2 linked regions of the Cricetulus griseus genome follow. The protein of the gene in region 1 purifies or fractionates together with the protein of each later gene. This does not show direct contact. Links are inferred from orthologs where the notes say so. Each region holds a gene or a part of one and is shown in the gene's direction. Other genes may lie near its edges.

Region 1 (5,426 bases):
AGGTTTTTCTTTGTAGCCATCCTGACAGGCCTTGAATTTGCTCTATAGACCAGGCTGGCCTTGAATTCACAAAGATCCCCCTGCCTCTGCCTCCCAAGTGCTGGGATTGAAGGCATGTGCTACCATGCCCAGCTTGATGAAGGCAATTTCTTAATTGAAGTTCCCTCCTCTCAGATGACTTTAGCTTGTGTCAAGTTGACATAAAACTATCCAGCACATTTGCCTTCATTCTGTAAAAGAAATCAGCCAGATGAAGGAAACCAAGAACTCTGCAGCAGAGATCATTAAAAGCCATACTTTGAGCTGATTTTTATGGTTTTAAGTCAGTGGTTCTCAACTTTCCTAATGCTACAATCTTTTAATACAGTTCCTCATGGTTGTTGAGCTAGAGAGATGGCTCCATGCTTGAATCCTAGCACCCACATCAAATGGCTCAAACACTTGGAAGTTCAGCTCTTGGAGGATCCAGTGCCCCTCTCTGGCCTCCTTAGGCACTGGCAAACACACAGACAAAATAAATAAAATATGCTGGGCATGGTGGCACATACCATTAATCCCAGCACTTGGGAGGTAGAGGCAGGTGGAACTCTGTGAGTTCGAGGCCAGCCTGGTCTACAGAACAAGTTCCAGGACAGCCAGGGTTGTTAAACAGAGAAACCCTGTCTCAAACAAACAAACAAAAAGATTACATGTGTCTGCAAAGCCTTTATTTGCTATCTGGCCCTTTTTAAAATTTTACTGACTCCTGTTGTACAGGAAATGAGACTTCACTGTTTAATATATTGCTCTGTAGGTATCACACCCCAGAATGTTCTTTATTATGTATCATTATGTATTTTCTTTAGTGTATGCAGATTTAGACCCATAGCCCTTAAGGCAATTCGGGGGACTAAAACTGGCATTTGCAAGGGGGTCAGAAGCTCTGGCTACTGGATTTGGGGACTGTTAATCTATTTGCTAGTCAGTGATGTAGAACCCCAGAAGGTTTCTTTCTAGCTTCAGCATACAGCCCAGCAGGAAATGGGAAGGGAAGAGAGTGGGCGATCAGGAGGACAAATTGTCCTCTAGTGGGACTGAAACTTAGACACAGAGTGGAAGTCCCAAAGAGTCACAGTGACAATTTTCCCTCTCCAGTCCACCACATGCTATTACTTTGATTACTCAGTGGAGGGGGCAGGTAGATTGAGCTGCCATCCAGGAAAACATCCTTCCCAAGTCCATTCTGGTCTTGGTACCAGCATCACAGTTTTCCAGATAAGGAAACTGAGGGCAGAGCTGTGACTTGTCCAAAATCATATGTCTAAGTCCCTCTGCAACGCAGCCTTAACAATGCGAACTATATTACAGAAGTGTGGCTTTCTGGCAACATGTGCCACTTAGCGACTCCTTCCGCGCCCCTACCCGTTTTCGCAGAATGTTAATAGTTAACATGGAGATGCTTGAGTACTACCGTAGTGAGTACTAACTGAGAAAATTCTCAACACGTATCCCACTCTCATTGTGGCTGCCAGCAGCCACAGTCCTTACTAGTCAATAGTCTATTATTAGCCTTTATCTCGGACCAGTCACCTGCCTGCCCTAGTTACGTCATCGCCAAGTGCAGCGCAGGAATCCCTTTTGAACGCCCTGGCTTCTTTGATTTGCTCTCGAATCACTGCACAGTACAACCGATGCCGGTCCGTAGGGCTCCTATGATGACTGGCCTGGAATTGAGAATGGCAATCATAGCAAACAGAGCGAGAACAGTGGATGGGAGTGGGGGTGGGGAGGTGGGGGAGGGTAGCGCTAGGGGCAGATCCGGGTCTCGAACCAGTGAGTCACACTTTACGCAGGCGCAGTATTACCCGGTAGTCAGTTTGGTGAGCTCGCGAGAGGTGTGGTGTGCGGCTGAGGAGTTGGGGATCCGCGCTGTGGGCTGGACGTGGGCGGGCAAATTAAAACGCTCAGCCCAATGGAAAAGAAGGAATCAGGTGCCCGGGGCCACACAGGTCGCCGGGAATTTGGCGGTGCGAGTCAAGGGCGGAGTTTGAGAAAGAGGATGCGCCCAGTGAGTAGTGGGGGAAAGGATTGGCTAACGTCTATGGCCGGGCGGGGAGGGGGCGGAGGCTTAGAGCTGGCGGAGGGAGCTTGGTTAAACGTTAGGCATCTGAGAAGGGGGTGGGGTCTAATGGATTCTGATCGAAAGGGGCAGTCCCCTGAGCAGCGGGGGCACAGTGAAAGGATTTGGGCGAGATCAGAGGGTGTGGAAGGTGCGGGTTCGGCCCTATAGGAGGTGGAGTTAAGTGTAGTCTTTAAGGGTGGTGCCGAGGCCGCCTCTGCTTGGCCTGGCGGACTAGAAGGGTCGTTGACTAACCTGGGAGATAGGCTGAAGAGGACAGGTTGCAGAAGCCAACCGTTCCGGGCGAGGATTAGCGGTATGAAAGGGTGTGGAAAGTAGAGAGGTGGGGAGCGGTGATTGGAAAGGGCAGGTAGGTCTTAAAAGAGCCAGATTGAGCCTGGGGTTACCTTGTTGAGTGCAAAAGCAAGATGAAGGAGAATCGTATAAAAACCAGCGAGGTCCAGGGGAATGGGCGGACGAGACCAGGTTTCCTCTGTGGCAGAAGATGGCCTTCAGGGGACCAGGTTTCCTCTATGGCAGAAGATGGCCTTGAGGGGCGGGGTTTAGAATGCACAGGAATGGAACAGCGTGAAGGATGCGATCTAGAATAGGGGCGGGGCCTGTAAAGGGGCAAGGATGTGGGGTCCTCTGGACACTCCTGGGGCTTCACCGTCAACTACACCCCTGTTAGACCCGTGCCAGGACCAAAGGCCCTTCAGCCATGACCTCCACCGGCCAAGATTCTTCTACCAAACAACGAAGGAGTAGGCACAATCCTCAGTCGCCCCCCCAGGACTCCAGCGCCACCTTGGTGAGGCCCCAGACGCGCGCTGATGAGGGGGGAGGGAAAGCCAGCCAGCCATGTCCAGACTCTGATCCTTCTCTCTGATTGTCAGAAACGGGGTGTTAAGAAGGGTACTGCGATGCACTCCAGCCCCAATCTAGCAGAGGTAAAGAAGAAAGGCAAAATGAAGAAGCTCAGCCAAGCTGTTGAAGAAGACCTGATCGTGGGGCTTCAAGGGCTGGTGAGAGATGCCTGGCTGCAGTTTGGCCTTCTTTACCAAACAAAACAATTATTTTCCCCACCCTAGACACTATGCAGTGTTTTCTGTGTTGGGGCTCTGAATGAATCTGTGTTTCTTTCCCCCTGCAGGATCTGAACCCTGAGACAAGATTATCGGTTGGTACTGGATTGGTGTTTGATGAACAACTAAATGACTTCCACTGCCTTTGGGATGACAGGTGAGGCTGGGACCTCTAGATTGTCCCCAAAGTAGAACATTTGTACCTCTGCTCCCCTCTCCCCCAAGCAAGAGTGAATCTTTTCTTATTGGAGCCTGTAGTCTGGAAGCAGATGATTTAGGGAGGTGGGGGTCATTCTTGAAAGAGTTCTCTTTAAACCAACACATATATCAAGTGTCTACTGTGTGCCAAGAGTTGGTGATATATGTGAACAAAATGGAGAAGCCCCTGCTCAGCTGATTGGTGAGTATGAGGGGAGATTATTAAACAGCCAACAGCATTATGAAGTTTTTAACGGGGACCAAGTGACTAGGAATTCATGTGTTTTTGTTTTTGTTTTGAGACAAAATCTGACTCTATAGCCTAGGCTTTCCTGGAACTCACTATTTAGCCTAAGCCAGTGTCAACCCTTTGAGGATCTTCCTGTCTTAGCCTCCTGAGTGCTGAGATTACAGGCATGAGCTCCCACACTTGGCCAGAGGTGTTTATTAGACAGCCCTGGAGTAGCTTGCATTTGGAGTCCCAGAGCCTTCCTTGAGGTAGAGACGTTTATGCCAAAACATACTTAAGAATCTGCTCATTCCTTTTGTCTCTATGTTCAAAATATATTATCTGACTTCTCCTCACTGGTCTCCTACTTCCAACCTCCACAGTAAAGCCATTCTTAAAATACTTCAAGGGCAGAGCTCTTAAGGTAAAGTCTGAATTCTTTAGCCTGGCCTCCAAGGTTCCACGTGACTTGGCTTCACATCACCCTTAGTGACCTATTCAGCCAGTTCTTTCCTCATTTGCTTCAGTTCACTTCACCCACACTGGTCTCCTGACTGTTCTTACAGCATGCCAGGCACCCTCTAGCCATGGGTCTTTACCCTTGACTGATCCCTCTTTCAACTTTCCCAACTATTGAGACTCTCACAAAAGCCTTTCACTGGCCAGTACCTCTCTCCCATCTGATCTTAGATACTTCACTAGCCTCTGCCATTGTCTGTTAATCATTACACTGATGTTTACAAATATAGTAGCTATCTCCCGTATGGTGACCAAAGATGAACTAATGGTGTTAAAAGGTTCCGTTTATGGTCTGTCTGCATCTGTTGAGGAGCTAGGGATGCAGCAGTAAACTAACCTGCCTTCAAAAGTCATCAGGAAGAGTGTCAGAACAGCGCTATCCAGAAGAACTAAGGTGGCCAGGAGAGTAAAGCTTGAGTGGAATGGGGTGCTTCCGTTTTTTAATACAACAGCCAGGGAAGGCATTGCTGAGATGTGAATAAAATTACAAGGAGGGCATTAAGGGAGTGAGCCATGGAGTCATTATGGAAAAGAGTGTTCTAGGCAAAAGGCGTTGAAGTCCATGGGCCTGGCTGAAAGGTATGTGTTCAGTTGAAGACCAAGGAGACCACTGCTGGTAAAACAGTGAAAGAGGAGGCATGTGATAAATAGGGCCAGGCTGGCTAGTCAGTGGCACACGCCTTTGATCCCAGCACTCGGGAGGCAGAGTCAGGCAGATCTCTGTGAGTTCGAGGCCAGCCTGGTCTACAGAGTGACTTCCAGGACAGGCTCCAAAGCTACAACAGAGAAACCCTTTCTCAAAAAACAAAAAGAAAGAAGGAAAGAAAGAAAGAAAAATTAGGCTCAGAAAAAGGATGAGGATAGATTTTTTTAGGGCCTTCTAGGTATGATAAATATTTTGATGCCAACTGTAAACAGAGTAGGAGCTACAAAAGGGTTTGAGTAGTAGAATTTTCACCACCGGCTGCTGTATACAGAAGGGACTGTTAGGTGAGTAAGTATAGTAGCAGGGAGGTTCTGGACAAGGTGATGTGACAGACAGCTCAGACTGGAGGTTCTGGTGGCATAAATGGAAGTGGGGACGAAAGTATAAGGCTTCGGGAATGACAAGAAGAAAGGCTGGTGCCACGGGTAAGGAGTGAGCAGCTATGGGGGTAGGGGGCTGCAGAGGTTACTGGAGCGGATTTGCTCCCCAGTGTCTTGCTTCTTTGTATGTGTGACTGCATCTCCACCTCCCCAGCTTCCCTGAATGCCCTGAGCGGCTCCATGCCATCAAAGAGCAGCTGATCCTGGAGAG
Region 2 (4,697 bases), on another chromosome or scaffold:
TATGTGTGCATATCAGTCCTTTTTTTCTGGTTCAGCTTAATAAAAATTTCTTTTTCTTCTATTGAGATGGGGATTTTGCCGAGGCTGGCCTCACTCTGTCCTTTGGCTAAATAACTTGTTTGTTATTTTGAGATAGAGTGGGACTTCTGTACTTAGGGGTGACCATGAACTCTTGGTCCTCCTGCCTCCATCTCCCAAGTGTTGGGACTACAGCTGGGTAGTACAGTTAAATTCACATTCAAGTTAAAAGAATACAGTAAAAATGGGGTTTGGGGCTGGGAGGTCAAGGCACACACCTTTAATTTCAGCACTCAGATCTGAGTTCAAGGCCAGCCTGATCTACAGAGAGGGTTCCACGGCTACACAGAGAAACCCTGTCTTCAAAGACAAAAAAAAATAGTTTTCACCGATGTTTTATCAATTCTTTGGGAATTTCCCCTCATATACCCTATACCCCTATCCCATTTGCTTCCCAGTCTTTCCTGTCCATGACCTTCCCCATAAATAGAATCTAGTCCTTGCAATCCTGCTGAAGGCCACCTGTTATATAGAGTGACACTTCAGCATCTTACCACGGTTTTTTTCTTTTCAGTGGCTTCTTGGTTAGGCTCTTACTGGGGAAAGGGGTAGAGGTTGTCACAGAAGTTTTCCATGTTCCTTTCTAAACTGTGCCTCTCACTGCCAGTGTAGCTTATTTGCTCTTTGTGGTCTTTGGGGGCATGGATCATGGGCTTTCACGTGGTTTGTGGCGTTAGCACAGAATATTAACAGGGCTCCTGGTTACAGTAGGGCTGTGGGCCCAGACAAGGCCCTCTGATGCAGCTGGGATCATGTACATGGCCATAGCTTCAGGTTGTAGCATAGACCATGACATCCGCCCAGCCTTCAGTGGCAACATGGGGCAGTTTTTACGTTTTTTAACATTTTTTTAATGATTAATTTATTTTTATTTCATGTGCATTGGAGTATTGCCTATATGAGAATGTTGGATCCCCTGGAACTGGAGTTACAGGCAGTTGTGAGCTGCCACTTGGATGCTGGGAATTGAACTACTCTTAACCACTGAGCCATCTCTCCAGCCCCGGTTTTTAACATTTTTCAACAAAGTTTCAGTATGTAGCCTACTTCTGCCTCCCTAGTGCTGGGATCTTAAGCCTGCCCCCCAAACATGGTCCCTGGGCTCACTGATGGTATAATAAGCATGAGGGCCTGAGTTCAAATTCCCAGCACCAAAGGGGTTTCCAGCTAGGTGTGGCCATATACTAGTCTGTATACTCCTGCCATGGAGGTCTAGGGGGTGAAGACCACATCACTGGGGCTTGTGGCCTAGGTGGACAAAGGATATCTGACCACCTCTCCTGGCCTCCATGAACATGTATACAGCACACCAAAAGAAAAGAGATGGGGAAAACTTCATTAAACTATGTGGGGCAGAATTAGAAGCAGGTAGAAGTTTCAATAAACATACCATTTTTAAAAAAAAAAAAAAAAAGTGCTATATTGAAAAATACTCAGTATTTTGTATATGGACCACTAAGATAGTATCCAATAGTAAACAATCTTTTTTTGGGTTTTCAAGACTGGCTGTCCTGGAACTTACTCTGTAGATCAGGCTGGCCTTGAACTCAAATCTGTCTGCCTCTGCATACTGGGATTAAAGCCACCACCACCTGGCTAACACCTTTTTGTTTTTAGTAAGTCTAGGTACTGGGTAATGACTTACTACAGAGCTATGTATCGAAAAAGATGAATTTTTACTTTAGTTTTTGAGCAGAATGAACATGATACAGGAAAGATAATAAAGAGTGGAAGGGAAGAAGCTTCAAGGAAAGAATACTTAATTATGAATTTACTTAAGTAAACAGTTTTCTTATGAGAAATACTGCTGGTACAACAAAAAAGGCAATTGACACTGCTGCTTAGATTAATGGTAGTAATTACAGATTGTTACACAATAGAAATAATTAACAGTTAGTGGCTATAGTGTTTGCCAGTTGCCAATTTGGTTCCAGCGTGGGCATTTTTAATCCTCAGTAGCTTGAATGAAATGTCTCTTTGGGAAAGTTGAGACTTAGGATGGATATGCAGCTAAGTATAAAGGGCCTGATTCTTTGTAGAGAATTGTGTCCTCTACTGTTTGATAGCCTTAAAAGTAGTCCTTTTAAGCCATTTCTGTGGTATCTTTCATCCACAAAGAGGATGCTTAAAAAAAAAAAAAAAAAAAAAAATTGTGCATGTAGAGGCCAGAAGGATGTCTTGCAGGAATTGTACTGAGGATTGAACCCAGGGCCTCAGCATATGCTATACCACTGGATTACATTCTCAGACCACATGTGTATTTTAGTAGATTTTATGATCTTGACCTTCATGTCCAATATCAGTAAAAGTACAAAATCAATCTGTGTTTAGGCATGAAAGATGGTCAGAAGATAACATTCCATGGTGAAGGAGACCAAGAACCAGGACTGGAACCAGGAGATATTATCATTGTGTTAGACCAGAAGGACCATGCTGTTTTTACACGGTAAAGACTTAATCTCAAACTAACTTCTTGCCTGTTTCTGTTTGTTTCTGTGGCTGGATAATACCCCTTCAGTCTCAGGACAGTCAATTCAAAGTAATAACTTTCACCTTAGTTCATGCTGAGTTTTGATTTTTTTCTTGGGTTTTTTGTTTGTTCTCTGTATTGCTTTGGAGGCTATCCTGGCATTCCCTCTGGAGACCTGGGTGGCCTCCAACTCAGAGATCCGCCTGCCTCTGCCTCCAGAGTGCTGGGATTAAAGGTGTGCACCACCAATGCCTGGCTGAGTTTAGTTGTTTTATGTGTAAATACCCAAACACTTTGAATAAAAAACTACAATTTAAGACTCTTTAAGTATATGTACACATTCAAGTCTGCTGTACTGAATTTGTATCTTGAAGCACAAGATTTCCAAACTCAACTTGGAGGTGTGGCAGGTGTATATTCTGTATTGGAAAAGATTTCAGAGTTGGGGAAGTTAACTTAAGGCATAATACTTAATATATTCTTAGCAAAGAACTTTTTACTATCACTTAAATAGTCATAATTGGCCTAAGTAAAGATCTAACCCAGGTCTGTTTTCAATTTGCAATTTGCACTGATTCCTGTGTTCCAAATGTGTGTTGGCTTCTTTTAGCCTCAATTTTTTTTTGGGGGGGGGGTCTTTTTTTCTCTTCCCCTCTTAAGTACCAGATTTAGCTAGCAGTGGTGGTGCATACCTTTAACCTTAGATCTCTGTAAGTGCAAGGCCATCCTACAAATCAGTTCCAGGACAGCCAGAGCCTTTTTTTGTTTGTTTTTTCACAGAAACCCCTCCCATTCCCACCCCGTCTCAAAAAACCAGGGTGTGGGGAGTGTAGGTTTAAGCAGCTTTGGTCTTCCTGCCCTTTGTGTTCTACCTCTTAAGTGCTGGCAATATAGGCAAACATACACCATTGTACCCAGCTCTGTGGTTGAATTTTGTAGGCTATTCAGCAAACAGCTGGCCAATTCCAAATAATTTGCTAATCTCAGCTTTCAGTTGTTTGGTTTCCAAATGATAAGTTTGCCCACTGTGGTGTGTAGTCATTTGGTGGTTTGAAATATGTGACTATGCCTTTTATTTATATTGCTATAGACGAGGAGAAGATCTTTTCATGTGTATGGACATACAGCTGGTTGAAGCATTGTGCGGCTTCCAAAAGCCAATATCCACTCTTGACAACCGAACCATAGTCATCACTTCTCATCCAGGTACAACTAGATGAGCCTGTTTTCATGTTTGGACTTCTGAGGAAAAAGTGTCCTTTCCTTGCTTATGTCCTTCCTAGGGCTGAAACAAAATTATAGCGAGGGCCTGGATGAATGTTGGATACCTCAAGACAACATGGTTGTTGGTTTTCTCGTCTGTGGGGGGGTGCCTTATGCAAATGTTGACCATACTTAAGAATGAATTTGGCATCAATGTCTTTAGGTCAGATTGTCAAGCATGGAGATATAAAATGTGTGCTAAATGAAGGTATGCCAATATATCGTCGGCCATATGAAAAGGGACGTCTTATCATTGAGTTTAAGGTAAGCTATAATGTTCAAGGACATTTGAGAATGGTTAGCTAATATAAACCAAGTACATGCGCTTACTCTTTGTCCAGAAAGAATTGGAAAACCATGTGACTTGATGGCTGCAGGGGATGCTGGCTGGCTTAGAAAGTCGTACTTTGTTAGCACCTGGCCTGGGTAGTGTGTCCCTATAATCTAGCACACCAGGGGGTTGGTAAAGAATAAACCATCTGGCCAGACAGTGGTGGTGCACACCTTTAATTCCAGCACTCAAGGTCATCCTGGTCCTACAGAGCGAATTCCAGGACAGCCAGGGCTACACAGAAAAATCTGGGAAAAATTCTTAAAAAGAATACTAAATGGTTCTAAACCAGAGTTGCAAGGTGTACCTCAAGAAATGGGAAATTACATGTTTTTCTGGGGAAAATAGTTGAGTGTACTTTAAAGATTAGAATCAACCTTAACCTGTAATTTATTTTTTGCAGGTAAACTTTCCTGAAAATGGCTTTCTCTCTCCTGATAAGCTCTCTTTGCTGGAAAAACTCCTTCCTGAAAGGAAGGAAGTGGAAGAGACTGATGAAATGGATCAGGTAGAACTGGTGGACTTTGATCCAAATCAGGAAAGACGGCGTCATTA

Evidence for each region.
Region 2: the proteins of Hdac6 (region 1) and Dnaja1 purify together in Homo sapiens (affinity purification with mass spectrometry; 4 studies listed by BioGRID and IntAct, with this or other methods). This does not show direct contact. The link is inferred for Cricetulus griseus from reciprocal best matches to the Homo sapiens genes HDAC6 and DNAJA1.

Annotation. Positions count from the first base shown.
Region 1 is NC_048604.1:114,416,915-114,422,340, reverse strand, and holds the start of Hdac6 (histone deacetylase 6), read left to right. Parts: upstream 1-2,158; 5' UTR 2,159-2,249; intron 2,250-2,255; exon of another isoform or gene 2,256-2,414; intron 2,415-2,789; 5' UTR 2,790-2,819; coding exon 2,820-2,909; intron 2,910-2,994; coding exon 2,995-3,123; intron 3,124-3,251; coding exon 3,252-3,340; intron 3,341-5,369; coding exon 5,370-5,426.
Region 2 is NC_048595.1:101,868,024-101,872,720, reverse strand, and holds part of Dnaja1 (dnaJ homolog subfamily A member 1), read left to right. Parts: intron 1-2,409; coding exon 2,410-2,524; intron 2,525-3,638; coding exon 3,639-3,754; intron 3,755-3,974; coding exon 3,975-4,075; intron 4,076-4,545; coding exon 4,546-4,697.